Styela clava: one gene and its partner. The protein of the gene in region 1 interacts with the protein of each later gene in a biochemical or structural test. Links are inferred from orthologs where the notes say so. Each region holds a gene or a part of one and is shown in the gene's direction. Other genes may lie near its edges. The genes, in order: DDB1- and CUL4-associated factor 1-like and uracil-DNA glycosylase 2-like.

The links.
Region 2: of the proteins of DDB1- and CUL4-associated factor 1-like (region 1) and uracil-DNA glycosylase 2-like, one has a biochemical effect on the other in vitro, tested with the Homo sapiens proteins (2 studies listed by BioGRID, with this or other methods). The link is inferred for Styela clava from reciprocal best matches to the Homo sapiens genes DCAF1 and UNG.

What each region holds. Positions count from the first base shown.
Region 1 is NC_135250.1:9,075,996-9,092,322, forward strand, and holds DDB1- and CUL4-associated factor 1-like, read left to right. Parts: upstream 1-8,822; 5' UTR 8,823-8,845; intron 8,846-9,676; 5' UTR 9,677-9,696; coding exon 9,697-14,007; 3' UTR 14,008-14,896; downstream 14,897-16,327. Other genes in the region: 5'-deoxynucleotidase HDDC2-like, read right to left, coding at 15,591-15,667, 15,753-15,891, 16,032-16,100. UniProt on the Homo sapiens protein: Acts both as a substrate recognition component of E3 ubiquitin-protein ligase complexes and as an atypical serine/threonine-protein kinase, playing key roles in various processes such as cell cycle, telomerase regulation and histone modification.
Region 2 is NC_135252.1:16,926,665-16,942,422, forward strand, and holds uracil-DNA glycosylase 2-like, read left to right. Parts: upstream 1-9,257; 5' UTR 9,258-9,405; coding exon 9,406-9,489; intron 9,490-10,685; coding exon 10,686-10,859; intron 10,860-11,309; coding exon 11,310-11,480; intron 11,481-11,980; coding exon 11,981-12,092; intron 12,093-12,721; coding exon 12,722-12,900; intron 12,901-13,280; coding exon 13,281-13,421; 3' UTR 13,422-14,986; downstream 14,987-15,758. Other genes in the region: BTB/POZ domain-containing protein KCTD7-like, read right to left, coding at 55-250, 1,535-1,728, 3,367-3,562, 5,068-5,204, 5,754-5,903. UniProt on the Homo sapiens protein: Uracil-DNA glycosylase that hydrolyzes the N-glycosidic bond between uracil and deoxyribose in single- and double-stranded DNA (ssDNA and dsDNA) to release a free uracil residue and form an abasic (apurinic/apyrimidinic; AP) site.

The sequences.
Region 1 (16,327 bases):
AGTAAAACTGTTTTTACTTCTCCTAACGGTGCTGTGATACAATTCCATAACACAAAGTTTGCACCTATCGAACTTGCTTTTGTAGGTGAATTAATTAGACATATTACATATTCAGTTAATCGTAGGTAACATTGCTGGTACATAATGCCTCGTAGATAGCTTTGTTTAAATTTAGGAATTCAGCTCATTAATTAATGATGTGATAATTAATCATTCAGCCCACTAATTAATATTATCTTCTATGCAGGAGGTTGCAGGGCCGAATTCAACTTGCAGCCTTACCGATCACCTGACCATGCTCATTTAGTTTGGCTCGAGCAAGTCTTCTTGAAAGACTTGTGTGAATGGAAACTACCTATATGTTTTGCATTCCTCCGATTTTAGAAGACAAATTTATTCTGAGGGATTTCGCATATAATTCTCATTGGTCGTTGGCTGTTTATATTTCCTATTAATTGTGGATTCTGATTATAACAAAGAGTTAAAAAAAAATGACGTAATTTACTGGCACCTCTTTCTTGTCCATACTCCAAGCTGAGGTAATAAACAAGACAATACATTTATGTCATCTGGAAGCAAAATATGCACACTAATTAATAGTTTGACACATTGAGATAACACATCATCAGAAAATACAAGTTAAAGATATGTATGACCATCACATGGTATTTAAAATTAAAAAATAATTAATAGCGGCTGTGGAGTATGAAAAATTCAAGACAAAGAAAAGAACATAAGTTTATAGCTCATGAACTCTTAATTTTGCCTCCATTGCTTTGTGAAGGCCAATATATTTCGAGTGGCTGAATTAGTTTACCTTTATGATAACAACGATTTTGTATTTAATATAGCAAGATTTTTTTCAATTTGATTGAAGTGATATTATTTCCCAAAGCAATGCTTGGATCGTCTAGAATAGATCAGTGGTGTCAAACTCATGGGTTTTCGAGAGCCGCATTGCATTTTGGAAATTGTAAAAAGGGCCGCAAACAGTTTTTGATAATGTATACTTGAAAGATATTTTTAAGATAGTTTTAGTTTGTGACATATGTTGTGATGCAACTAAACAGTTGGATTAAGTTTCATTATTTTCTTTAATTTCAAATGCAATTACATATTAATATTTGCATTCCACTATTATTGCAAGTTACTGTATTTATTACAAAAAATCATAAACTTCTATGTACATCCATCAAAATCCTTTTTGAACAAACTTTGGATAAGGAAAGAATAATACATACACTAAAAATGACCTATTTTAAATATATGGACCTAAAATTAACAAAAATACTACAGTATGAACTCAATGTTTTTTTAATTACATTTGTCCTGACGTTTGGTATCTTTTTTGTGTCACCAGCATACTAAGGCCAGGCTGAAATGATTTTGTAGTACCAACTCTAACTAACGAGGTCACATGATCATGGGCTAATCTGGATCTTTGCGAAAATTAATTCCAGTAATGCAAAAAAGTGATTTTTATAATTTCATGTATAGATACAAAAAAAACACATGACAGATTTTTTCGAAAAGACATTTCGCACCACATTGCGTGGCATAGGATTGCTTGAATTATTATTGATATTGATTTTTAGTAACGAAGTCGTTGTATAATTTTATTTTAATATACAAACACATGAAAATTTTCTGTTCAAAGTTGCCCTTCGAATTTGTGATATTGAGTGCTGACCTTTATGTGTTTTTTCATTGTATTGATGGAAATATGACAAATTAAACAATGTGCTTCAGAATTTTGTGAAATGCAGAAATATTGCAACTCTCATTTTCTTTGAAAATGCCACCTTCTTCATGTACTTTGCGTTTAATTTAATCACTCAAGTGTTTTATTCAAGTATTCTTTTGCTAGCTTGATGTGTATTCTTAATTGGGTCAGAATGTGAACAAAAACAAATTAATTTTCCAAAACTACAGTAAATTGTTTTCTGTGTGAATAATCAATTTTGAAAAATCTATTACATTTAGATAGAAAAAAACTTCCAAAATATTATTACAATTATTGCTAAGCGTTCGAGGGCCGCACTGGAAGTTCTCTGGGGCCGCGAGTTTGACATCCCTGGTCTAGATTGAAGTTGTCCAAAATGTAACAGATTTTATCATGAATCATGATTATACCCTTTCCTGAATTTCTTCTATAGTACTACCAAAAGTTGATGAACCAAATATAACACAGGTGTAGTGAGTTAGCCGTAATCCTCATTTTCCAACGCTGTTTTAAGTATGTCTGGCATGTTTTGTGCCTTTTTACAAATAGGACCGCTTATGCAATCTCACGCTTTAGAATTTTTTGATATTTTCCTTGAGCCCTGCAGGATGTGGGTGCCATACACAACTCTACCGGAGGGTCAAATGTCTTTGCATGCCTCCCATAGGTTGTTCTTCTATTGCAAACATTTATGGAGTACTCTAATTATATTTCTTGGAATCACACGGTCACTGATATGTCGCCAGACTTCTGATATCTCCCCTTCTGCTGTAGTTGTCCTGTGAATAAGTAATAGGAAATTGAGATTAGACGATTAGTTGAAACTTTTGCTTTATGTCGGCTTAATTTCTTGATTGATATACATACTATTTTTGCTATTGCCTCTTGTGCTGCAGGAGTCTCACAATGCTTAGACAGGTTTGTCCACATTCACATCTGAAGAAGGAGAGGAGATTTATTAATTTTCGTCAAGAATAAATGAAGCAGTCTATATGATTTAGAATGGAAAAGCTAATAAATCCAATATCTCATGTTTAATGTAAAAATGTTTTACTGAATTTGGTATATAAACCAACTAATGAAGGAATTTAGTCAGAAAATTACAAGCATTCGTGACTCCATATACTTGAGAGATCAGACTATACAATATAGACCGGTATGAATGAAATGTTAGGTGAACTTGTTAACCCTTTGATTCAATCCTCACTGATTAAAAAAAATCTAAATGGAGGTGCATGAACTATTTGAAACCATAAGGGGTAAGTAAATATGCAATTTCGGCAAATGGGCAACTACGTACCGTACTGAATTAATAACTTCGTAGTATTTGACAAAAGCTGGCTTTCCCACATGTACTGAACAGTGCGATGCCCGGGTGTGATATACAACAATAGTATTTACCTTACCTTTTTCCGATTTCTTTTTACCTCAACTTTCCAAAATATCATTAAAATCGACAACAACTGTCAAAGCCGGCACGAACACCATTCGTGCTATGCTTGAAAGCAGCACACATCCGCTCGTTTTCGTCTCGTCAAGTATGTGCATTGGAGCGTGCTATCGGATACGATCTTCGGCCAAAAATGCCGTAGTTGCGCATCATGTTGTTTAATGTCATTGGTAGAATTAATGGATAAAAAATACGTCAAATTAGAGCAAAATGGACGTTTGACCTTTGACCCCAAACATTCTTTTCATACTTTGTCACTAATTTTGGGAGTGTTTGAGCAACTTTAGATACCGGTACTGTTCAGTACATTCGTGTAAAATTATTGTATGAAAAATACGCTGAATCAGAGCCGTACTTGGCCATTGGTGCGGAGGCGATCTTTTCGTCCATAACTATTCTCACGGGATTTTTATTTCCTATCATTCAACACGATATGGACCTTTCCCCGAGCATCGACTTCCTTGTTTACTTCGTGACATTGGCCAATCAGCAAGATGCAAAAAAGGACGTAACAATGAGAGGAATTTTTCCCGGGTCAAAGGTTGGGGAAAGGTCCATGGTCTTTTTGCTTCGCAATATTTCGATCAGACCAAATCTTGCAAGCTGGTATTTGTCGACAATTGTGGAGTTATAATATTTTGGCATCTTTATATTACTGGATTATTGATTTTAAAACCATTCAAACCGATTTACATTGGTGAGCAATTGCAAATTTTCGGCGTGCAAAATTGATTTCGCTCGCGTGCATTTTTGCGGAGCGCTAGCGCCCTCGGGCGTGCACCTGCCATGGAATCCAGTCTGGCCAGTTACAAGTTACAGTATCTGTCACTACTGTGGGGGAAAATATCCATTAATAAATATATAAATCCACATGTATTTATGGTACTGGTATGGTGAGATTTTTCATCTCACCTGCCATATCCAATCCTTTTTTACGAGTTGAGACTTTACACACATCACTACATTAACCATTCCCAGACTTCCCTCCACCAAAGGCTATTCCTTCGTCAACGTTTCATCATTAGAATGACTTGAAACCTATGATACGTATCGCCCAAAAAAAAACGGCCACCTCCAAAGCGTATATATAATACGCCACCTCTTCTTTATTTATTTTTTTTTTAATGGGATAATATAATAAAATATAACCAAAAGTATATAACCATTTGAGCAATCATAGGATAAATAATCCAATATTCATTTTTCATATGTCCATTCCATCAGTGTTTAATGACGAGGTGTTGATCGCATCGGCATACAATTCATCAATTTTTAGTATATTGAATTATATTATGTACAATAAAAGTAAAAACTAAATATATTAGACATGTTCATTGTTATACATACTTAATTTATACACACTTGATTTATAGTTCAAATACAATTCCTCAGTATTTCAAATTCTTCACCTCTTCTTTATATTTATTCCATAATACCATTAAATTGCCGACTCGTTTCCTTTTTTCCTCGTATTTATTTTTTATATATTGATATTTGATCTCATTTGTATCCACCTATGATGAACTTATATATAGCACATACACAAGGGTCGGGAGCCTAGATGACTTTAATCGGTCTTGCACACCGACCCGCACAAAGCAATAATCAATTACTGTGGAATATTTTCGTTATTGTATTATGTTTATAATTATTAGTGTTGATTTTGTTTTTGTGGCAATAAATCTCTCTCTCTCTCTCTCTCTCTATACATTAGGCACAGCAGCAGCTCGCAAACTTCTTGTTCGTGCGGCGCCAAATTATCAGCGAAAAAACTTACTACGCACTCACACGAAAATAAAAAGCTGCTTTCAAATAAAACTCAAATTTGGAGTGGGAGTGGTGACTCTTCTACGGCCCATGGGCCGGGGCCACGGTCCATCGAAATGGGCCTCGGCCCATCAGGCTATTGGCCGCGGCCCATCAAGTTGTGTAATGGGATGAAATAATAAAGACTAATAAATATGTAAATCCTACCTAAATCCTACCCACTTCCCGAACTTATAATAGAATTATAATGTGAAAAGTTTGAACAAAATTTTGTCCTAAGTTCCTAACCCTAACCTGGTACACATACTTCAGGTGTATCCTTTTCTGTAGCTTAGTATTTTGCTTTATTTTTGGACACGTAGTGGACATAGCGATCGTTTCAATATTGTGTTGTTGTTGTTCTCATTGTTGTTCTTAGTGTCCTTGTTCTTTGACACGTTTTGAAAAAATCGCTTTTCTCTTCGAATACTGGACCAATTGCTTTGAAATTTTTAGTGGTTGAAGATAAAATTTTTCTCCAGAAGGCCGACTTCTTTTTTTTTCGTTATGACCTCATCAAAATTATTCCCACTGGGTGGCGCTATGTGTCCATATAGAGCATAGCTCTCTTGTTATGTAAAGGCTTATCGTAAGAAAAAGGTTTGGTGGCATCCCGCGATTTTTTTTTTGGTTCGAATATTGACAATTTTGTAAGAATTGAAAATTTTGGTAAGACAATTGAATTTTTTCTGATGAGCCGCGGCCCATAGCTTGATGGGCCACGGCCCATGTGGCCCAATTAGATAGGCCGTGGCCCCGGCCCATGGACCTCAGAGGAGTCACCACCCCTGTAGCAAATTTGTGATCGTCAATGTGTAAAGTACTTTTGTGTAAAGTTTGTAAATATGTGGGCCTAACAAAGAATAAGGGCAAAAGGTCAACTCTCTTTCTCATGTCTGCCCGATTTTCATTTGAAATACTAAAAATATCACTCATGTCAAAAAAAATTCGAATACAAAATATAAAATATCTATAATAAATACAATATGTAATATCGTCAGTCCTATATTGTTTTTTCTTCAGGTGAAATTTGCAAATCGGCGCCCACTGAAGTTCAGTATCAAAAACACTCTATTGCAGTTTTAAGTAGAATAATCACCACTAAAATAATTTTAGAACAAAAAAAAAACCTCAGTTTTAACCCTTAACCCAGCGGTTTTCAAAGAGTGCGCCGCGACGATTTGCTAAGTGCGCCCGAAAATTAACAAAATTGTGTTAAACCGTAAATATAAACCGTAAATATATAAACCGGTTGAAGCGTAAATTAATACTACTACGGTTAAACATACCAAAGCAATTTTTATTTCTGTTACATTTTTTTCTTATTGATGACTGTTCGTATTTTGGTTGACAAAATAATGAATATCTCTCTCTCTCTTCTATACGGAATCAGGTTCTGTGGATTTGACCCCCGAAAAGTGATTTCGGGGCTATTTCAAGAGTGCTTTTGCGAGTTGGCGCCTGCAAAATGGGGTATGTGTTTCAAACCATCATTATGATTCATCGCATACAACAATCTGTTTTTTAAAAGTAGCGATTAAGAATTTTAACCTAGTTTATCACAGCTATTTATACACTAATTTTTTATTACTGCAATTAATTTAAAACTTCTAGGAAGATAGGGTAATCATTGAATTATCTGATTTATATTTTAAGTTTTCGAAACACACTGAAAACTAATGAATAGCGTTCAAAAACGCGAAAACGAGGTAATGTTTACGACCACGCTTGAAAATCTGTCTGAGTGAGAAAAGTGTCTGAGCGGATGCGAAAAGGGAGAATTGTTACGTCACTTTTTGCATCTTGCTGATTTGCCAATGTCACGAAGTAAACAAGGAGGTCGATGCTCGGGGAAAGATATAAAGTGCACATTAACGATCACAACTATTAGTTTTATTTAAACGCAGCAATTTTTTTTCATGTACCGTGTTTCCCCAAAAATAAGACTAGGTCTTTTTCAACTTTCTTCCAAAAATAACACTCAGGCTTATTTTCGAGGAGTGTCTTTTATTTTCATTTATCAAAAACAAAATTACAAAATAAAGAATTACGAGATTTTCAAATATACATAATATGGAAACCGATATCCATTCACTTATAAATAAAAATCAAAATAATAATCAAAAAATTATTTAAAAATATTAATTCGCGTTATTGACTTTCCAGGGTAGGTAAGACTTTCTTATTTTCAGGGTAGGTCTTATTTTCGGAGAAACACGGTAGGTGCGCCGAGAATTTTTTTCTGATAATTTGGCGCCGCACGAACAAAAAGTTTGCGAACCGCTGCTTTAGTCCTTTCGCCGCCATTGCATGGCGAATTAGCCCACTTAGGATAGGATTTACATATTTATCCCGGGGGAGAGGAAAGCCGATAAGACGGCTTATCCATATGGCGAACCACGGCCTCTCGTCCGGTTACCATTCCAAGTCGGGTATGGGATTAGTTTTACTGTATTGTTTGTTTTCGGAAGCATGGACTTGGTGGTGGAGGAAGCCGTAACCGACCAGCGGTTACGTGAACCACCCAACGACGGCGAGGAGTCCAGCAATCCTCTCGCACATAACCATCCCTGCATGGGATTCGAACCTGCGAACCCACGCAGAGTAATTAGAGGTGCGGTGGCGAGCGTATTCCTAACGCTTAGCCCGTTGAGCCACACCGCCGCGCCACCGCCGGCGCACTTCAACCACCTCATCTTGCGTCAAAAGAAATTTCATCCACTTTTACTTTTTAGTGACTTCAATCGGTCGGAAGAAATTTCACTTCTTTCTTTTAGGCCACAGTCTTTTGGGGACCTAGTCTTAAACCACTCCATCTTTGTCGGGAGAAATGTTATCAACTTCTTCAGTCCTTCAGTGTTTTGTAACTTTTCATCTTTGGGAACACTCTTTCCTCAGACCTTTTAGGTACAGTACAGTAATGGCGCACCAATCGCGGATGTCGAACACCAGAACAATCAACGATGAGGATAAGATTTACATATTTATCTCGGGACAGAGGAAAGCCGATTTGACGGCTCAACCATATGGCGATCCACGTCCTCTCGTCCGGTTACCATTCCATGTCAGGTATGGGACAAGTCAGGTATTTGTTTTTCCGAAGCATGGACTCGATGGTGGAGAAAGCCGTACCGGTAACCGACCGACGCTTAGCACGACAAGTGCAGTTTCAAGTATTTTGTGGCGTCTACAGCTGCCGCAAAACCATGGCGGGATTTCCAAACCACGGCCACTAAGACCAAACCCACGGCGACTGACTTTTTAGCTGCCACAAACCAATAGCGAGCTGCCGTGGTTACGGCAGCAAATCGAATACCACCAATTTTACTGCCGTAACCACGGCAGGTCGGCTGTAATAGCAGGGCTGCCCCTAATCTGCTGATGGAGATAAATATTTAGTGAGTTGGAATGTTTTTCTTATGGATACAGTTTGGATGGATTTGGGGTTAGGGTTAGGGTTTAAGTAGATATAATTTCGCATGATAAACTTAAATATGGTACATGAATTTGTAAATGTACCGGTAATAGCGCCATAAAACCATGGCAGGAGACGGCGTGGTACGTTCGTGGCAGGAGCTGCCATGAAGTGGTAAGAACTGCGCCTCTAGCACGATGAGCCACACATCGCTCACATCTCACTGTATCGCACCTGATCGCGTAAGCTGAGTTTTGAGTACTGTATTCGTGCCGTATGTATACTAGTAAGTAGTATGCCGGTATGCGTACAATTTTCGAATGTAAATTGATAGGAATCCTATATTTTTTTAAATCAAGGCAAGGAAATGAATTATTGTTATATGAGCACATGGCTGATCTGATACACGGTTAATCATAATGTAATTTCGCATGCAACGACAAAATAACAGGTATGATTAATATACTGCAATACTGTGACAGTGTGAGGGCTTTTGAAAATTATGAAAAAAAAAGTGTCAAGTAGGCTATTCTGAAAAGATCTTCATTGAATAAATTCACAGGATACGGTATATTGGCAAAAAACTTGGCGTTTTACTGTAAAAACAGGCAATTTTGCTTAAAATCATTCATAGTCTAGTAGTCTATGTATTTCTGTATTTGAAAAAAAATGATTTGGATATGATACCGGTATAATTTTAACATTGTTGTATAGCAGGGGTGAGCAAAGTTTTTTGCCCTGGGTAATAAAATCTGCACCTAGCTGCCTAGACCGGCAGCCATGTCTGCATGTACTGATGTAAGTGTGACGTACCGGTAAAAGTTACATTTTATGAACAATATTTACAGTGTTACAAAAGCGAAAGTGGAAAACAATAAGCCTCGTGTCATACTAAATTCAATTGCAATTTCAACAAATTCTTTGAGCTGACACATGAAAATTTGGTTTTAGTTTGGCTGTGGCAGCACCAGGCGGGCAAGATTGAGTTATCCAACATGCCAGATTTGGCCTGCTGGCCGTAGTTAGCCTATGTCAGTTGTATAGCCTGCTTATATTTATAAATTACATCTGGCCAATCTGTCAGTCAATCACTTCTACCTTTTTGTGGTATTCCTGTTACATCCTGCCTTTTCTTATTAAGTAGCAATACTTATACTGCAGGAAAAGAGCGTAAATGACCAATGCAACTGTATGAACTTAGAATCAGTATTATCATTGAATATTATGTGACCATAACTCATTTATAAATACATACATGCAGTCACATATATTTGATTTTCAGCATTATACTGATTATAAGTAATGGAAAATACTACTACTAGTGCTAGAGATGCTGAAAAGCAGTTTTCTGAATTAGTTGAAGCATGGAAGTCAAATCACGAATCAAGCGATTATGATCCAGTGCCATTTTTGACTGACTGCGCAAAACTTTTCGAAGAAGAGACAATAGAATTTCATAAGGGTGATCCTGACCCTTTTGATGAGCGTCATCCTGAATATGCACAACCTGGATGTGTTTTTGGAAAGTTACTTGTTTCTCTCTCAAAGTCGCATGATTTCATGGATAAACTTACATCATCTTACTTTCGTGTGACAACAAATCCAAAGAATCCATCTCAAATTACGTTAGCCTCTGCACGATTTCTCTTAGCCGCTTTACCTGGATTAGAGCCTCATACGTTATTCAAAGAAAAAGAATGGTTAATCAAACTCCTTTCTGAATGGGTAACAGACGCTGATGAGCCACTAAGGACATATGCAACAGGTTTGCTTGTTGGTGCCATAGAACCCCAGAAAACTTCTAATGATGAATATATAAGAATGATATCAATTTTGCTCAAAAGATTATGGAACCATGTTAGACCTGGTAAATTTCCAGAGTCAGAATGTGATGGATCTACTTTTAAAGTTGATTCTTCTATCGGAGTTAAGACTTCTTCACAATCTCGCTCACAAAAACGCAAGTTATCAAACAGCTCAGATGCCCCAAAACTAAAAAGAATATTCAGTGAAAAACCGCATACGAGCACACATTCCCCAGCACCGAATGGCGAAATGCATTTTACGAGCGATTACTACGACAATGACCTGAGTAACAGTAGCTGGTCTGAGCAAATGCCTGCGATGATAGGATGCAGTTACAGCCTTGAACCTCCTCTACATTCAGAAGTCTGCCAAAGATTTATTCTTGATTTTCTAAAATGTTTGGGAGAGTATCAGGATTTGTTATCAATTTTCCTTGAACTCAAAGCACTAGAATTAATTAATATTTACATAAAAGAAAAGAAATTTGATGGACTACTAATATTCAAAGCATTAGAGTTTTTGGCATCTCTTCTGTGTCACAATAAAGTAGCCACGGAATTCATTGAATTAAATGGAATACAGAATCTTTTATCCGTTCAAAGACCATCAATGGGTTCAACAGGTGTTTCCCTATGTATTTATTACTTAGCATACAAAAAAGATGCAATGGAAAGAGCTTGTCAGCTGCCTGCTCGTATTTTGAGTGATTTAGTGAAATATGCTCTTTGGTTGCTGGAATGCTCTCACGAAACTGGTCGATCTCATGCGGCATTGTTCTTCTCATTTTCTTTCTCATTCCGAGTGATTTTACAGCTTTTTGATAAGATGAGTGGATTACGTTGCCTTATGAATATGATAAGTATGTCAAAAATTATTATTAATGTACTAGATGATAACTATGATCCTGATGAAGACGCCAATAGACTTTTCATGCGCCAAACAACAAGAACAGTTTGTGCAGCACTTAAAAAATACTTTGAAGCTCATTTGCAGATTAAAGTTTGCTCGGCTCAAAAATCGATTCCAAAATCCAAAGAAAGACACACCATTGTGGAATCTGTATCAAAATATAAACCAATGGTTTCCAGTCGCGAACAATTCTTTGAAAATCTTGAAGTTCTCGGTGAAATCTCAGTTACTGATGCCAGCTTTCGATCTATGAGTAACTGGCTACCTGTTCTCAATTTTTATCGATTAGATGGAATTGCATTGATGGTGAAAGTGATTGATATTGCATGTGATTGGGTGACTTACACAGGCCAAATAGAAGTTATACGTTCAGCTTTGGATGTACTTGCCGTGGTAACTCTCTTGCCATCACCGCAATTGACTTTGTGTAAACATCACACTCTCAATAAAAAATTTACCGGTATTAGTATAATGTTGGATATAGCAAAAGGGGGAACTCTGTTCGCAGTTGAAGGTGAAACACAAAAGTCAGCTCTTGCTGTAATTGTGAATTGTGTGAGGGATTATGCAACTGATCATCGTAAATCAACACCTGGGCCACAAGATACACCACGTTCCAAATCTTCACAATCTAAAACAGAAAAGAGGGAAATGGTGTGGAAATATGTTCAATATAATAATGGTATTTCTGTTCTTCTCTCATTACTAGTCATAAATCAACCTGCTTTGCATGCAGATGAAGTGAGATATTTTGCATGCAAAGCGCTATTGGGATTATCAAATTATAAACCAATTGCTCAAATTATGTCAAAATTGCCATTTTTTATTGGTGGACAAGTACAATCTGTTGCTAGAGAACCAGTTCTTCACTACAAAAAACGATTGCATACAAAATTTTGCAAATGTATGGGAGCCCTTTTAGAAAAAGTTTCTGGTAGGCCAATGAATTTGGAGTTGGATTTAGATGCAATTCGTATATCACACATTGTTTCTGAAACGCACATGCAATATGAAAATAAAGAAGTTCTTCAAATGATTCATAATCATCTAGTTTGGTCAAAGCTGCATAATGCAGCAGAAATTCTTGCTAGAGATGCTTGTTTATTCGCAGACAATCAAAAAAGCATCCTTTCGACGCCAAAATCCAGACCAAGAGCAGCTTCCTCAGGAATATCTGAGCACCGAAATAATGGCAGTGGTGATGCCAGTTCTAGTGTGAACAGGCGAATTAGTTTCACAAGAGGTTCTCATGCATTAGGAGACACACCAACTTCATCTCATATTATCAACATTCCAAACCAAAGCACCAGTAGGAGACATTTGAAAGGTAAAAGTGATCCTTTGTCTGCTTACAATGGCTCTAATGGCCAACAAAGGTTTAAGTTATCACAGAATGGGATTGTTTCGGTAAAGCCAAAGCCTTTGATCTGCCGAAGTAAGGAACCACCAAGTCCACCAACGTTGAATTCCATTATTGAAGAAAATTTTAAACATCAACATGCTCAATGTCGAAATCCTGTTGCCACAGTTCCAGAATTTTCACTGTTCAGTCAACATCGTTGTCCAGATCCACGTTATAGGGTCGAAGCATCAACAAACGTCATGAAAAGATTGGTTTCTCGTGAGGGAATTTGCCCTCGCTGGGGAGGAATTGGGGGTGAAGTGTGTGACAGACAACTTGTTTACAGTCGCTATAAACCGGGATATGTTTTTAAAGGATCAGAAGACAGAAAAGTACCATTTTGTAGCGTTGCTTTCATGCCAGGTGATGAACAAATAGTTCTTGGGGATTATCAAGGAGATGTTGTTATTCATAATCTTTATTCAGCTGAAGATCAAGTAATACAAGGTGTTGCAGGAATGCCAATTTCAGCTCTGCAGCCCTCTCGTAACGGAGATTCAATACTAGTTACTGCAGAATCAATTTGGGCCAATAACTGTAGTCTTCATTCATTAGGCACACAACTTGAGCATAAGTTTACATTTGAAGACATAGACCATGCTGAATTTTCAAAACTTCACCAAGATAAGATCATTGGGACAAAAGAACACAAGGCCACTGTTTATGACGTAAATACTGGAAGTGCTTTAGACACTTTTGAGCGAGAAGATATGTGTTGTTATTACAAGGAAAATCGTGCGACTTTTTCTCCAGATGATAAACTTATTCTTTCAGATGGACTTTTATGGGATGTTCGTAAACCTCACACGTTGCCAATTCACAAATTCGATCAATTTAATACAACAATTAGTGGCGTATTCCATCCAAATGGTCTACAAGTTGTTATTAATAGCGAAGTCTGGGACTTGAGAAACTATCATCTTCTTCATACAATACCTGCCCTTGATCAATGTAACCTTACATTTAACAGCGGAGGAACCATAATTTACGCAGTCAGAACCAAAGACACTTATACCAGTGAAGAACAGAATATAAATAAGTCATTGATGTCAGCTTTTCGTACTTTCGATGCACTCGAATACAAGCAACTGGCATTCAATGCTGTTAGACATCAGATCTATGATCTTGCCGTCGATAGCAAGGATTGCAGTGTTGCTATCGTGGAAACGTTAGCTCAAGATGAGGAATGGCGTGAACCGGCCATGAGCGTGTGTCGATTCTATGAAGTTGGTATGACAAGAGGAGATGAGGATGATGAAGACGTTGAGAGTCATTTTGACGATGAGGACAATGAGAGTGACGGAGATGGCAGCAGCATTTCTGGTAGTTCTAATGGTGACGATGGGTCCTCGCAAGGTGAGGATCATGATCTAGACCGGCTTAGCGATATGCTTCGTGATGACAATGATAATTCTAGTGGAGATGACATCAGTTTCGATATCATTGATTCATCAAGTGATTGGCAAACAACAGATGATGAAGAATGGGCTGCTTGAAACCAGAGCTGGTTTTAAATCACAATCAGTGTATTCCAACTTTGCTTCATCTTTCCTCACGAGGGCTCCTTGAAGTTTCATGGTATGGCCAGTGATATGGAACATCAGCCCAAATGCATTTTTGCAAAATCGTGACTCGAAGCTATGATATGGGAGTTTCAAATTATATTGTAAACTTTTGATCATACATATTCAACTTGAAACTTCTTGAAAGTTAGATTTTGAAAATATGTATACACTTGAAGGGGTTGATTGCAGTGTTAAAAAATTATAAGTGTGAGAAAATAAATGGTTAGGAGCTGAAGACACTTAGAGTATGTTGTAGCTTTCCCATCCCTGCTTGAAACAATGCATTAAATACTGAGTGCGACAATGTTGGTTCCCCTTTATTAATTATCCCTGTTGTCAGTCTTGAGTCACACATTCCTGCAATCACTGTATTTCTTATGCCAATTATCAAGAAGTTCCAAATTTTTAAGTCTGACTCAGTAGTGGGCCTGATTCTTTTCTTTGTCAGTATAATTTTAATGAATGGTGAAGGGTTTTTGAATTTAATTTCTTTCTATGTATTTGTCACTGCTGTTTTACCATCTGAATATAAAGTGCTTTATGATCAATCATGAATAGTGTGTCTGCTAAAATTCCTCTAAACTGAAATTAAATCTTCTTGTTTTTTTCTTTCTTTTCAATGTAGATTATCATAGTTCCTTCCTCTGATACATGCAAATGCCAAATTTGAGTCAATATTAAATTTCTTTGGGAAAAATGTGTTGCTTTATCAAACTTGGTTACAGGTTTTGAGGTGGTGTCACAAACTTGTAAATATTAGTGTTGTAATTCATCCGTCTTCGAAGTTATTTAAAATAAAGTATGGCAAGTCATCACACCATTATTGACTGACAATTTTCAAATATTGTTTCAGGAGCAATAATATTTAATTTATGTTTAATACGGTTCTTACGACTAGCAGAGAATCTTTCGTTAACTGGTTGACATGACCCAGAAAAAGGCCATCTGGTGGCAAGTTTTAGTTAAGATTCCCTTTGAAACAAATTTTGCCCTGATCTGTCATAGTGCGTCAGCCAACGCTTTGCTGTAGATTCGTACATCTTAGCCAGAGTCATATCGTGGCGAGCACCAAATTCTCTAATTACAAAGCTGCTGTACAACTGAACACTTCTAAATAAGCCCCATAAAATATAAATCGTTAATCGTGGCGAGCATCCAATTACAAAACTGCTGTACAACCGAACACTTCTAAATAAGCCCCATAAAATATAAATCGTTACACATCTATCAGACCCCCACAACAGAGATGCGACCTATTTCTTAAAGGGGCAGCTGAGCTTTTAAAACGGTAGGTGCTGCTAATGCAATGACAACCATAAACCCGATGGTAAGCTTCCGCTAACTGATCTAAAGTACACCAACAAAAGATCAAAACGAATACTTTATTCATTAAAAAACTGTACTATCGAGAATACCATCTCGTTGCCATAGGTGCTTTTGATTGGAGAACTGTTGAATTCACGGCCACCAGAAGTCATGCTATCCATCGAACAGTGCTGACCTCCCAAGAGCCATCATTTCGTTCCCTCTGCAGACCTCTTCTCTTTTAAAGTTGCAACAAAATCTTTCACAGTTTGGGTTTTAAAATAACCTGAAAAAATATTTCATTTTTTTATTAGTTTGAATGCCAAAATCATTAACACAACAAACGCCACATATCAAACTAGATAATTCACCTTCCGTACTGTCAAAAAATTCTTGAAGCCAACCAGGCCTTTCAGAGTCATTTTCATATTCATAAGCCTGTAAAATCATATCCAACCTATCAAGATCTTTTACGAATATTGATTCAGGTGTCTTCTGCTCTTCAAATTCCTGTTTATATCAAAACACAAATGAAGTTAGTTAGTAAGTAGAACATATTATATCATCAAGTGCGCTGATACCTGAACAATATTAATTTTAGTATTATTAAGAGTATTGTCTAAACTTGAAATATCATGTGCAAGCCTCACTTGAAATAAACTTTGAATCTCTTCGGCATTATGTTGAGGCAACAAATCTCCAAGTTGTTTCATTGCATTCTGAATAAATATAGTTACCGTTTATGAGGCCAAAAAATGACAATGTGGAATCCCTAAGATAGAAGGGGCCCAACTAATATATTGTGTTGTCAATATAGTAATACAGCAGACCATAGGTGCTTGGAGAGTTGGCACTAGCACAGTAGAATTGAAATCTGGAGTTTGCAGAAGTAGAAATTTCAAAATTTTAGACCTCTCATGAAAACTAGGGATTTTAAAATCACAAC
Region 2 (15,758 bases), on another chromosome or scaffold:
CACAGTACATAGCACGCAAAATAAAATAAAAATTACCAACTATTGATGACAAAATTACCACCACTTGAATTTGAATTCATAAATTGGCCGTTTACAATAAAATTGTCCTATTAAGTGTTTATCACACACTCCAATGCATTGACATTCAAGTGAATATCCTCGTTTTGCGACGTCATCCTTTATACAGTGTATAAGGTCGTAAACATCGGGAGCTGCAAGCCATGGACCGAACGAAATACAAACATCACAACTACAGAAAAAAAATTCAGATATTAGGTTATTATTCAGTAAGGAGAGTTACCAAGAAGTATGAGCAATCATGATATAAAAATTTCGACTGCCATTCATTTTTTATTCATTTGTCTTCTACCTGCCAATACTTGACAGAATATAGCAGATCATCAGACATCCTCATTATTAAAATTAAAGGGGGTAGGACATAAAGGAGTTGCTAACTAAACCAAAAACACAAATGGGTACTCCTGAAGTATGCGCACCAAGATGTCGCATAACCTGAACTCTCACCTGGTACACAACCTGAGTTCAGGTTGTGCGCCATCTTGGTGCGCATACTTCAGGAGGTCTGAAATTTGATATAGTAACCTTTATCAAGAGGATGAATAATATAGCAGTTGTTTTTTATCAATTTTATCGCATTTAGAGCAGCTGTAAACAATAGCCACATGCCAAGCTTAGATGTCTGTATGAAACCACAATGCCATGTAGATACTTGATGACGCGTTGAGTCATGCACTTTTCAATGTACAGAAAAACTTCCTCATTGTACGTTAGGTTGAACAAGAGACACTTTCGCTCATCAAACGAGGAAGTGGTTTTTATCGTGAGTGATGATTTCCTGACATATGTAAATCATTATTTCGGACCAGACTAAGTCAAAATCTAGGTATCTAATGTAACCTGCTAATCTGGTTGTGACAAACCCACAGTAAAACTGATACTACTGTTGGATGATTTTTTAGTATTTCCTCAATAATGACCGGTACATTATAAGGAAAATTAAAAATGGCTTTTTTACACTAATCCATAATTTTTTCTAAAAAATCTTAGTGTGAGAAGTTTGGTCAGGATAATGCCTATTGTCAGAGATATCAACTATAAAAATATTTGGATTTAACTATTGCATATTACCGGAATATTGTTTCTGCTGATATTATTTTTGGGAATTTTACCCACCGTAGCTGGAATCTAGAATGTCCAAAAAATGTCCGAAAGCAAGATTTTCAATCGTAACTGAAAAAATCACGCAAACGTCAAAGTCTTCATATTTGAAATTTATTGAATGGCTTTTTTCAAATATATCTGAACAATAATAATTCACTAAAAATGATGTAGATGCAGTTCTGCGAATGAACTTGTATTGCATAGAACAGCAACCTTCTAAAAGCAATATAAGTACATTTTGGGTTTCCCACTTCTGCTCTGCACAAGGCCCTATACAAGCAGTCTCAACTGGAACTTGGATGAAATAAACAATTCTAAAAAATTCCAATTATAAGATCTTAAATCTTCTTACCTATGATTCATTTGAGATCCATTTGGATTTCTTTCACCAGGCACAGGAGGAAGTAATGAATTTTCATATGCAGTTATTGGTGAATCTTCTTTGTAGACACAAACAAGAAGTTTTGATACTCTATCTGGATGAATGGTTGCAACTTGCTGAGCTTTTTCAATTAATGCATTGATCTTTATATCATAACTTGGCACCTGAAAATAAAAGTGTAATATTTTAATATTTATAGCATATATCGCTCTTCAACTGCAGTTATTATGGTCTAGCAAAGGGTGTTTCAAACTGGGATCCAGTCACTCTGAGATTGCCAAAGAGTAGTTTCCCTGGGAGCCTTGAGATAACGTCTGCACCATTATCATTCATGGTCCCTACATTACTTTAGAGAAAATTGACAATGATTTGTTTAATTATTTGAATGCAATGCATTTATTCTTTTACCTTCGTTTGTTGATCTTTTAAAATGAAACATGACACATAAAATAACTGATGTGAACTCGACTAACGGAAATATTGATACTTTAATGAAAAGCAGGGGCCACAAGTCTCTGGAAGGGGATCATGAAACATGGAAGAACCACTGGTCTAGCAACTAATGAGCAATAGGTTACATGCACATAAATATTTCTGTCAATGCACAGACTACTAGATGAGTTATATAACCACCTATATTCTTATCATCCCATATAGGCAACAATTCAAATCGATTGAAAATTTTTGTAATGTTTCAGAACAGATAGAATAGATATTCCATATTAAAGGATTTTCATCAAGTATTTTAACATCTATTCTTTCTCTGTGATGCAATGGCTTGCATTTACGGTAATTCTTCCCTGTTGTTAAGATATCAGTTGGAATAGCCTCACCCAAAGAGGTGTTATTGAAAAGGTTATAGCAATAATACTTAGAATAAATACATTAGATAAGGCAGGAAAATTTAGTACGAAAATCAATATGTATTGGTAAACCATAATAATCATATTGCATTCTTCACAGCAGGAATAAAATCAATAAATTTTGCTCAAAGGAGGTTCATTATTTGTATACAAATCATTTTCAAATAAACAATATTGCGAAGACTCGAAATTAATTTTAGCTAAATGAAGGAGTAATAGATCCCAGAAGCAAAACAATGCTTAAATAATCACGATTTGTATTAGAAAACCAAGCAATTTTTTTGCCAGCACGGACTTGGTTAGCAATAAAATTTTGACCGAAGATGACAAATGTTTTCAAAGTGCAGTGCCATTCAGCAATTCGAAACCTAACTTTATATAACAGATGGGCCAATATTTTCTTAGTTCTGACTAATTATTGTCAAAATGATTGTTATAGTGTAGCATGAATCACCCTAAGGCCTAAGGGCTATGATAACTGTAAAAAAATTCTATGAAGTCCAATGCCTGAAGCACTCACATAATACTGTATCGTAAACAAACAATTACACAAATCTTCAAATGAATAAACATGGTGCTGCTAACAAGAGCTAATTATAGCGCTTTGTAGAACTCATAAAGAATTATAAAAAAATGATTCTAGAAACTTTGTCCATCTTAGTATTGAAAATTTGAAATAGATTGTTCTATTAGATATGAAGAAAGTGATTTTTCTACAACAACAATTTTGCAAAACGATAAATATGTACACTCAATGTCCAATAAGTTTCATCACATATTCACTAACTCTAACGGTTTACAGAAACATAAAATATATGTAAATTGGGAATAGAATGAACTCAACATAACAGCTTCTCCACTGTTCATAGTTGATTTAATTTCAAAATGATACACCATAATATAAAGAAATAAAACAGACAAATTCATCTTAAAACTAACCTCATCAAGAAATAATCTCCTTATTTTATCACTTGCAACAGGACAAGTTGAATTCAATGCAGAAATGAGGGGAGTAATATTATAATATTGCGCTTCTTCATAAACATCCATCACAAGTGACAGTGGTGGCATTTTATTTTCACGAAGATAATTCAGAATATGGATGAACAATTTTCCATCTCGGTCAATGAAATATCTAAAAAGTGTGTGCAGAATATAAACAATATAGACCTAAGGTTTACACCTTGATGCACTTTAAGAATATGGGCCAAAATTAGAAAAAAGAAGTCTAAACCAATAAGAGATAGTTTAATATTTTTGATGCGTAATATCTTTGCTCCAAACAAGACACTACACATTCCCCAACTTGTGAGTTCGTAAAGGCCATAATCATCTGGTGTAAAAAGATAGCCTCATCAATATATATAATTTGTTGGTCAAGTGGTTAGATTCAGAGTTATATATTTACACACAACATACCGATATATAAAATTGATCAGGTATATGATATACATTGCTATATATTACACTGTTTATGCATTGTTTAGTCCAGCGCTGCAATCTAGTGCAATACTATCGCCCGTTATTAAAAGGTCTGCAACATGATTGATTAGATGTCTGATTTATAAGGTAACAATTTGCATGTTCATTAATCATTCATAATATAACATGCCATGCTGGCAGGAAAAAGAATTGAAAGTTTGCAAGATATTTTGTAGAAAAGAAATAGAAATTGATTTATTATACATTTATACTCAAGCGTACTAATTAAAATGTCATACTGTCAGTTGTCACGTTCATTTGGTTTTGAAGAATTGAAAATAATCAATTTCACAGTAATGTTAATGAAAATACAGGATTATTCTGCATTGCTTATATTATGTGAATGCAGATTACAGATGGAGTTCGCATGGGTTCAACACATAAGCTTTAAACAAAGTACAGGGTATGTGGATAAATACATACCAAATTGAATGGTGATTATTAATGATGAATGAAAGAATTTTAAAGGTATATACTTCACCTAAACCATTGCAAAATACTTGGATTCTTATTTGTCAAGGCATTCTATTGAAATTTTCAGCATAAAACTATTTTGAACTCAATTCAGAACACTCATTTTATTATTAAATATAGATTGTTTTTTCATTCACAATGGAATGCATATATTCAAAAATTCATAATACCATTACTCACAGGATATTAATATTTTTTTTTAATTTCTCGGACATCATCAGATGGAAAATATTAATAATTTATTTCATTTCCTACAATATATTCTATTTCCGATGAAGATAAGAGATAAGAAAAGTCATATTATTTATCCCAAAATATTACAGTTATTGTTTTATTTGCTAAAAATACTGTACTGAAAGATTACCGTACATTCTGTTGAAAATAGGTTGATTAAACATGGACCTTGCTTCAATTGTCTACTTTGGCATTAAAAATACTTACCGGTAGTCGGTAGATCAATATTGGAAATATTTTGAACAATTTTAATATTGAATAAACTAGAAAAACTCAAAGGGAACCACATTATTCAATAAAAAAATCCCAATTCTCTGATTGAATCAACTAATTTGAATTTGCCCACTCCATCTTTTTACTCAGAAAGTGATTGAATGGCTTAATTGAATCTCAAAAACCTCGACTGCATTTGATAATTGCACGTATATTTTTTATGAATTATATACTAACCTTCCTTGATCATCCATTGCTAAATGATGCCGACCACTAAACATAACTGCGAGCATTGAATCTGGATATTTCAGAAGAGTTGATAAACTAGTTGTATGTATTGTTCCTCCAATGTTAAGTGTGATTACATTTTGAAACTAAATTAAAAAAAAATCATGAAAATGGATATTAGGAGCAATGAGCCAAAGGCATAATTACAAATTAGAAACATTCAAGAATACATAATCTAACTGAGATTATTTAGAATGTCAACGTAAACTATTTACTTGAAATATATGGTTATATTGGTCCAATTGGGCACTTAGTTTGTATCAGAGCTAAGTTGTCTGAGAAAACTTACATCAGACTCTCATTCAAGCTCCCCGAAACACTGTTGAGAAAAATTTGAAATGCATCCCGACTATGAGAAAACCAAATTTTGAGCATAAAACTTGGCATGTGTAAGCCTTCTTAAAGTTTTAATTGAGAACGCTAAAGTCAGTTTTTTTGTTTTTAACTTTAAAAATCTGAAATTCCTCCAAAATTCCATGGATCCATTTCAACTCTGCCCTGTCTACAACTATGAGGTATTGGAAAATACAACAAGGCTCGGACTTCAAAGCCCTGGTTCGTATTAGCCAATACCCCATCATTTGTAAACAGTGTGATCCACTCAATATCACAGCACACCAAAACAACATGCATACCTGAATACACTCGTTTTTTTCATAAATGCCATTTCCATTTAGTTCCCTTGAAGATGAAAAGGAAGGGTTAGGAACATCAACAATTTTCAACACATTCATTGACGACGGCTTTACGCCAGCCATGACTGACAGAGGGTCATGACTTTGCATAGCTTTATCTAATACAAATATTTAACTAATCTGTCCAAAATCAATGTGAATATTAGTATAAGCCTTTTTCTTTTACAGACTATATATAGACTCTCAGGATTAGAACCTTTTTTTTCTCGATTGGAAGCATCATATAAAAGCATATTTTTATTCAAATGGGTTGGTGTATAGAGCTTTGTTTTGCAAAATTTTTGTTTTTCGTTCAGTGGTTTTTCAAACATCAATTTTAACAATACCTAGTTTTGTTTTTAACACCACTTTTAATAACAGAAAAGTCAACGAACGTAAGCAAAAGAATAAATTCAATACGGTCAGAGAATTAAACAAATCACATTCAGTTCACTTTAAATTATTTGTAGTCATGACAAATGGTACCTAGCAAAGGTCTTTGCTCGTGGTCCCGAAGCACCATCCCTTGGCCCTCCTAGTTAAAATATTCCGATCTAGATGAATAAGTTTTTAACAAAATCATATCAAAGACCCCAATCAGGGATATAATCCAAACACGGTATGTCAAATTTCACTGAAAATAATAATAATAATAGTAATAATACTTGGAATCATAAATTCCTGCCAGTCAGGACTTGAAATATATCAAATAATATGACAACCAATTTTTGCTGGTATCTGTTAATTTAAAACACCTCGTTCGAAAAATTAAGATTGTATGCTCAAATATGACTGTATCATAATAAAGTTTATCAATGTATCCCATGCTTCACAATTGGAAAAGCACTTTAGAAACAGCAACTTTTAAAGTGTTATCAGGTCACTAAACTATCCAAACAACTACATGTTGCAAACTATTTACGTTTGAACTGAGGAAATGCAAACATGCATCATTGCATGCAAACAAAAAACGCTGTGAATCATTTCACTTGCTATATAATGTCCAGGAAATAGAACTGATGACTAGTAGAAAGCAGATGTTTTCAATAACATACATAAGTAAAGTTAGAAAAGATGAATCAAATACAAACAACCTATGATACGTCAGTGTCACATAGACCATGATCTTGGCAGTCAGTTCATAAGAGTAAGATCACATACATTTTCCAATTAACCGCACTGAAAAGAATTTGTATAACAAACAATTTTAAAATATTAATAAAAATGACTACGGTAGGTTTCACTCATGTTTATATGTTTCCACAGATGATAAACGAATCCAAAATTCTCATAGGAATAAAATATCAGTTGTAATAAATTCTCTTTAATCTCGAATCACATGGGAATCGATGACATTTATAAACAAGTTATGGATGATGAGTAATGCATAATCACGTGGATTTAAGATATTAGTTTCATAAATCAGTAATTTGCAACGTTTTGTATAGATCACTATAAAATTCGAGGAAATCTATCACACTATATGAAGTAAAATATTTTCACTACTCAAAATTATTTTGAGTTAGACAATATGACAAAGATAAAACTACCCCTTAATTCCTAAACTCAAAGTTACAATAAAGCCAGATCGAATTCTAACTTGATGAAACATTTTGTGAACGACAAATATTGATAAAATAATATTTGTATTTTGACAAAGTAATGGTACTAATTTATATTGAAATTGGCCAATCCGTTCTGTTAAATGACAAGCGACCCCACCCCATACATAAAACACATACACACCCTGTTTTCATAGTTTTGAAAAGATATTCATTCTATCGGTATGTTTGATGTAAATATTTTAGATCAGTCAAAACAAATCAAAGGCAACATTTGTAGTAAGTATTATTCCCATGTACATAGAAAATTTTCATTCAACATGTTTTAAAAACACTAGAAGCTCTCAATTTCTTTGAATTTAGTTTGTCATTTCAATACTTTGAGTATATGCCAAAAAACTGAACTATCACTCTGATTCGAGGTCCCAATATAATTCAATAAAATGAATCGGCAGTACTTCAACGGTATCTGATGAGGTGTAGAAATCAGGAAATTCACATAAATTTTAAAAATTATCATTATGAGCAAGGGAAGGTCATAGTAAATTCCTAAAAAATTATTCAACTTCTGAAAAATGTAGCAAAATAACATACAGACATTGCAATCAAAAAGTCTTAACTTTTCTGTGTTATTGTAATTCATCACCATGAATGTAGAATGATATCTACATGTTCTGTGTTGTTCAGGTCAAAATCAGAACCTATTTCTTACACTATTCAACTAAATCGTTCATGACTGTATTCCTAAAAGATTGCTTGGGTAGATGTCTTTTGAACAAAGTGATTACTCAGCTTTGTATCAATTTTGCACAGACATTGAAAATCTTATACTTTCATTTATTCCTATGTTTTTTTTTATATTGCTATCTTAAAAGTTCAGCTTGAACTCTAACATGGTACAGGAATGTTGCCAAAATTTCAAATGCTAAAATGAAGTTTCAACTTGAGACACAAAAGTATTGTAGTCTATGATTAATCTCACATTGCACTTCATTGAGGATCTATTTGCCCTCCATTATTATTATTACTCACTAATTTTCCCATCTGCAATTTTTGACTCTGTTTACATTAGGTGAGGACAAGTAAAGTTAGATCATTGTCCCACCTTCAAACTTATCCTATCATAACCCAATATAGGCTATATCTGTATATAGAATCATAACTGCATACTGGCATAAGGAAGGACCAAATCAGAAAATGAGTGGTGGGACAATACCACAGTAACAGGATAGTAGTACCAATTGAAGAGCTGATCAATTCTGCAATTTCAATCAATCATTTATTTCGGTTCTCTGACATCTAGACATGAACAACACAAAAAGTGAACATACAAAAACAAAATGCAGGGTGTGCATATGGTACCGTACCGGTACCTACCTGGGAGGCGAGCATAACTTAAAATAAGGTTAAAAAGCGTACAAGTACCGTACCGTACGTCCGCATATTTGCCCACACAATTTGAAGCAGATCTTTCTCCTTATTGTGCATACATGATGATCTTACTTTCCCTCATCCAGACATATCTGCACCGCCTGCAATGTCGCTCCGCCGGTGCTCGTCCATTAACGTTTCTGCAGCAGCACATTTACTTCAGGAATTGGAGGATTTTTCATTGAATAAGTATATCAAAAACAGCTCTATTCCGCCATATCGCGGGAAATCACATGCCGACAACCAATGAACATAGAGCTCCTTGCAAAATGCAGAGAGTGGGAAGCAGGAGTATAAGGGGTGTGTCTGTAAAGTAAACAAACACAAATACACGTGATTCGACCGCAACGACGCGTGTCTTTATGGATATGACGTCATAGTTAATAATCAACTTTTAGACATCGTGTTTTTTTTTGGCGGCAATCGTTCCCGCCGTTACTGCTTTATCCAACCGCAATTTTCAGCGGTTTTTATTCGCTCTTGTGGCAGAGTGGTGTGTGGAGCGGTGCTGAGTGAATTTCATTGTTCCAAATAAGACGCCTGGCTGGCACATAAAAGCCAGCTAAGGCGTCTTTTCCATTTCCAAAGACGCCGGAACCCAACCTTGTCCACAAACAAAAATGTCATCACAAAGAAAAATTTCGTCTTTCTTCAACGTGGCTCAGAAGAAGACAGGCAACTTGAAACGACCATTGAAAGAGAAGGTATCTTATTTACTTTTTTCAAATGTTGTTTCGATAATTAACCGAACATACGGTACAGGTACGGTACAAAGATAAAATGTATTTGAAATTGTCAGATCCGGCAGATTCAGAGATATTGATATTTCATGTCATGCTGTCATGCGCATATCTCCATACAGCTGTAGAATTTAAGTTAATTAATTAAAACATTACTGTTTTTTGTGTGAGAGTAGTCCAGTCCACAGCAGTGTGAAATCTGCAGGGATCACTATATTATAAATAGTAAAGTAAAGTAACAATAAAATTTGAATGCAGCAAACAATAGCAGAATAAGACAATGGTTTTTGTTACAGTAGGCTAGCATGTTGTTCAATCTCTTTCCAATATTGTCGCCTATCAAAAGCACCAACTCAAACATTTTCCTCCCTTTCTTCATCCCAGGATACCGGTACCAGGGTACTGGGATACCATAATATTGTTTTAATTCACTTTGATAAATCTATGACATGGTAAAAATGCTTCTTTTTGTAATTTATTATTTCTCTATCGGACTATCACACTGTAATTTTATACCTTTCTAATCTTCTGGCTAAAATGCAATCACTGAATCATAAGTTTTGTGGAAATGCTTTTTACTAATTTTTTTTTTGAATCATTGCTTCTGGTTGTATTTACAATTAGAAAATACCTTGAAAGAGGAGTAAATTGATAGAATTTGATACATAACATTCGTGTGTTTTAGGTCAGTATGGTCTTGTGCATACATCCCGTCTTCAGTATTTAGAGAGTATCAACTCTTTTATTTTGCTTTTACGAGACGAATAAACATACATGCTCTACATATCATTTCGTCATTTTTGAAAAATTCATGAACTAAACACTTTCAGACATTATGTTTTAGCCTCATGTTACACCATGATGCCACAATCAGCTATCTGACTATTAAAGCTATTAACTAAAAGAATCCTAATAACTAGCACTAACTCACGAAATCACTGCATCGAGGCTATTTGTTCTGTTGTTTGATCATAGCAGGTGGATATGTACCTAATGAGTGCAGGAGTGTCTTCATTCCTACATTCAGACATTTGCAGATTTGGCTATGGTTATAAAAAATATAACATAGCCAAAATCTATCTTCACTATATCTCATGTCTCTGTAAAATATAATAAATATGATCAGCGCATGTTCTGATGTTACACCATATGTTTGTCAGGAAATCTGTTCATCAGCAAAGAGACCGTTGACTGAGTCACCTAATAACAAACCAGTACAGACACATATTTCATTGAAGAAACAAACGTATATGGATTCTTTAGGTCTTGAAACAATTGGAGAGTCTTGGAAAAAAGCTTTAGAGCCTGAATTTCATAAGGACTATTTTGTTAAGGTTAGTCTTCAATTTATTTGTATTTTATTATGTTGTTTTTACAGTAATATTCGTATTCTGATATTTGTCGTCTAGTATCAAGATAGATCAGTGGTGGGCACGGTTTTTGGACCAGGGGCCAAAAATTCTGCCCCCTCAGACTGACTGGCCATGTAAGTGTATTGTAAAAAGTTAAATTTTATGAACAATATATACAGTGTTACAAAAGCAAAAGTGGAAAACAATGATCCTTGTGCCAAAACTAATTCAATCCAATCTCAACTAATTCCTTAAGCTATTTTTTTAGCTAAAACATCAAAATTTGGTTTTAATTTGGTTGTGGCAGCATCAGGAGGACCAGATTGAATTACACAACGGGCCGTAGTTTGTCTGAGACAGATAATTCGCAAAAACATAAAATTAATTTTTTGTACTGTTGTACCTCATTGATATTTTCATTTATTACTTTAGTTAGGCAAATTTGTGACATCAGAAAGATCTTCACATACAGTGTTCCCTCCAGTGGAAGATGTTTTCTCTTGGACACAGCATTGCAAGTTGAAAGATATTAAAGTTGTTATACTCGGCCAGGATCCTTACCATGGTGAGGGACAGGCACATGGATTATGCTTCAGTGTCAAAGTAAGTTAATGTAGAAAAGAGCAATGTCATGAAGGTCTAACGACTAATGCAATGTTAGTAAAATTTCAGCCAAATGTAACAAAATACACCAAATGTCATATAAAGGTGTGTACCAAGGTTCGCCTATGAATTGAGAAAAATGGCAAATTTTGGGGCAATATATTGGACCCTGTTGTAAAATTATAAAATAAGAGCAATTGCTTTCATTAGCGAATTCTTACGACTTTAAGTACTTTAAAATTTAAAATCGATTGGCCTATATCGCAAGAATAAGTGGTTTTCACCAACAATAACTACCCCAGCCAGAACAATCAAAACATCTAGCAAAACGATCCAGACATGCATAGATTACAGAGTGTCCACTGTTTACAAATATGCTTGTATTCTAGAATATGTCTCGGCTATGCATTTTGTGTTATATTTCTTCAGTTAAATGATGTTATTAATCAAATTCAACGTTTCATGGTATCAATGTCTTATTGGTATTTGTTTTCTTTTAGAAACCTGTGAAACCCCCTCCTTCATTGGAAAATATGTTTAAAGAATTGAAATCTGATATTGGAGGTTTCAAACACCCTGGTCATGGAGATTTAACTAGATGGGCAAAACAAGGTATCGTACTCAAATAAGAAAGGAAGACCAATAAAAAATTGAATTCATCGTTATTTAGAGTCGTGCAGTTGAATTTAATTTCAGACAGTTTATAAAATGATAAAATTTAAATATGAATTCCCATTGGATTCTGTGTCCTGTGCGGAATCGCATGTTCAAAATTCCGTCAGGGATACCTATCTTCGAGAGGATTGCTGAACACCTAGTAGTAGTTCACGTTCGGATAACCGCTGTCAGTCACACCTTTTTTCAACGTCAAGTTCATTAATCCTAACCTGATAACTATTTAAGTATTTTCACATTCAACTTGGACTGGTAAACTGCCAAGTGAATATACCCCCTGCCCGTAATTTTCAGTCTCTTTACACAATATGCTCTGTTATTTATTGAATAAGCGAATATGAGATTGAGATTATATTTCCCTGTTTTCATGACCGCCTAATTTGTACAATATTTTTGCGGGCTCACTAGACAGGATAAAAAAAACGAAAAGTACTACATATCAGCATGCAATCTCTCCAATGTGATGTGTGCTTATGTGGGATTTTAACATGCTTTTTTATTTTATCCTTATACTACTGTTCTTAAATATAAGAGCACAGATGATTTTATCAAACTTTCCTTACTAGGTGTCTTGCTTTTGAATGCTGTCCTGACGGTCCGTGCTCATTCTGCTAATTCTCACAAAGACAAAGGATGGGAAAAGTTCACAGATGCTGTTATAAAATATGTCAATTCCAATTGTACTGGAGTTGTATTTATGTTGTGGGGATCTTACGCCCAAAAGAAAGGTGCAGTAATAGATAAGGTAGGAATTTTTTTTATTTATGAAGCTTACGTTTTGCAAGTGCCTCAAGGGAAGATTGGTTGAATGCCTTGGACATGAAGGCTTAGTGATTGTGATTGAAGCGTTAGACATAACCATACATCAGTATCGCAGGTTATAATCTCTGGTTCAAATCTCGTCACATATCCCAGGGTGAAATAAATTAGGTAGGCAATGCTCAACGGGAATGCTATTGTACAGGCCTTGTTCAGAGGAAAATACTTGAATAAGCATTGTATAATATAAATACAAATAGCCATAGTACAAATATTTGAAATATTCATTTGAGGTGATGCGAGACGTAATGATTGTCGAAGTTGAAAATCATTTTTAAACTCGGATTAATCCATATATGTATTCAGAAACGACATCACGTATTATGTTCTGTCCATCCTTCACCATTGTCAGCATACAGAGGATTCCTCGGTTGCAAACATTTTTCTGAAGCAAACAAACTTTTAAAAGATCAAGGAGATAAAGAAATTGATTGGTGTGCTTTATAAATATTGCTGCTTTTTATGTTCTTTGTACGATTTCATTCATATTTGTAACTTCTTTATTATCGGCTTGCTGCTCGACTCACTGCCATGTTCATGTAGCTTTGTAAATAGTTTGTTTTGTATGAATCGTAGTGTGCATTGTAATAAACTGCTTCATAGTCTCTTATATATAAAAATTCAAGACCTTGATCAATACCCACTAATTTCTCACCAGGGTTGTCAAATTTGGTAGTTTAAGATTCATATGTTCTTTCGAACTCCTGAGAGACCATTTTTCTGATGTAGGCCCTCAAGGATTAGTAAAAATGAAGGATCTCATAATTTCTGTGAAAATAAAATTGGAATTGTTCATCAATACGCTATATGGCTCGAAATTCATTGGCGAGTTAATTCTAAACTAAACTTCCAGTATTCTTTTGACTTTGATTTGAATTAGAACCAGAAACTTTTACAAACCCGAACTTTATCACCCTTTTTTGGAAAAAATTTAACTCGTATTTAAATTTGCGTTTGTAATTTTGTAATGGTCTAAAATTTCAGTTGAGAACATGCTTACACAAATTTTCATCATTCAATGAACACTTTTTTAATATCATTTTGTAAATAACACATGTTTTGTCTTCTGTTGAGAGTGGAGGTATGCTCATAATCTTATATTTTAAATAGTTTTGGTTAGTTCTTTTTTGTGTATACTTATGTTGGTTTATCATCTAAACAGAACTTATTATTATGGTTACGATTTGTCATTTTACTCGTCCCTGAATTGAAATATTATAGAATGGGAAAAAATTAGTAAGTTGCAGTTTGTGTCTGAATACTACTACCCTGGAAGTCAATGTTATTTTTACGGTAACTATCTTTTTGTTCGGTTTTTAAACTTCATATTAAGAACAAGAAATCTGAAAATGTTTTAAACATGTTTAATGCCTTTAAGTCAATCATATTGTACTAGTAGTTTCATGTATAACCAGTAGTTGCTTATATGCTTTGTAGTTTAGTAAGTGTATTTGTAAAGTGTTTAATCTAAATTGTTTCTCTTAGCAACTTGTAATCATAAATTCAATTGTCAACCCTTGCCAAATTTGACAAGAAATTTTTTCGAGAGTGAAAAATCATTGAATCATAGTACTGGCAGCCATGCTGTTTCCTCTCTTCAAGTCAGCCCAGTCACTGCCCCAAAAAATTAAATGCTGCCATTGTCAGAATCATTTTAAAATTGACTGTCTAAATTATTCGTGCCATAAGCTGAACAACAACCATATTTTGTATATTATCTTGAGTTTGCTGCTAATCATGTTCCTTAATACTTTTCTTTGTGTTACTTTTTGTTTTTTATTCTCTACACCAAGCGTCACCATTTAAGGTTTCAGATGGATTGAAGGTCTTTTCTGAATCTTTAGATGGTATGACCGGGACGTGGCTTGCGTCACACTGCCTATGTGATAGTTTTACAAAATGTGCTGCTATGTATGACTATTATTAACTGCCCCTAACAAGGCAAGTTTCATTTGTAAATACTTTTTCATTACTCGTTTTTTGATGTTTGTAATAAAATTTGAAAACCTTGATGTCTGAAGTTCATTGGTTGTAACCAGGGGAGCTTACAGCCCTGCGATCTGCATGAACCATTTCTTGGAATGTAGGTGGATACCAACTTCGGTAACAAACTCCATAGCTGACAATTCGTGTTATATTTGGTGTTTTGAAAGTTCTGCGTTAAAATTATATGAAGAGTGTCATGCAGCCCTATTGTGACACTCTTTTTTCCGAGGCGAGGGAACCTCTTGTTTGATACAAAACTACCTGTTCTTAAAATTGTGACTTGCGGAGGTAAGTAATTACCAGGGCTTCTTTTCTTGCCAGAGGTACCAAAACTGAAATTTCCTGGTTTGTGTAGACATTAATTTCCAATCTCCAGGTTGATAATTAATTAGGCACTACGTGTCTGTGACAACAAATCATTTACTGGAAGCTATGTTAGATCTATTCTTCATTAGTCTGAAATTTTGAAAAAAGGAATAGCTAAACCCGGGCTCCAACGCCATCTGACAGTCAACTACAATGTAATTGCTGTTTATTCCCTTTTTTAGGAAATGATGAATTCGCAAAAGTTGAGAATTTAATTAAGCCAATTGTATTTATTATAGGAGTTTTTTGTCCGTAACCATTGTTTTTATGATTGCTACAATTACGAACTGAGGTGACCAATTTTACTAAACATGTCTCTTTCTACTGCAGCCAAACTATTGGTTTGTCATTTGCTGCCTACACATCATTATTAGACATAAGATAATTATCCATAATCTCAAAGTAATCGATGATTTTCCTGGCCATTCTATT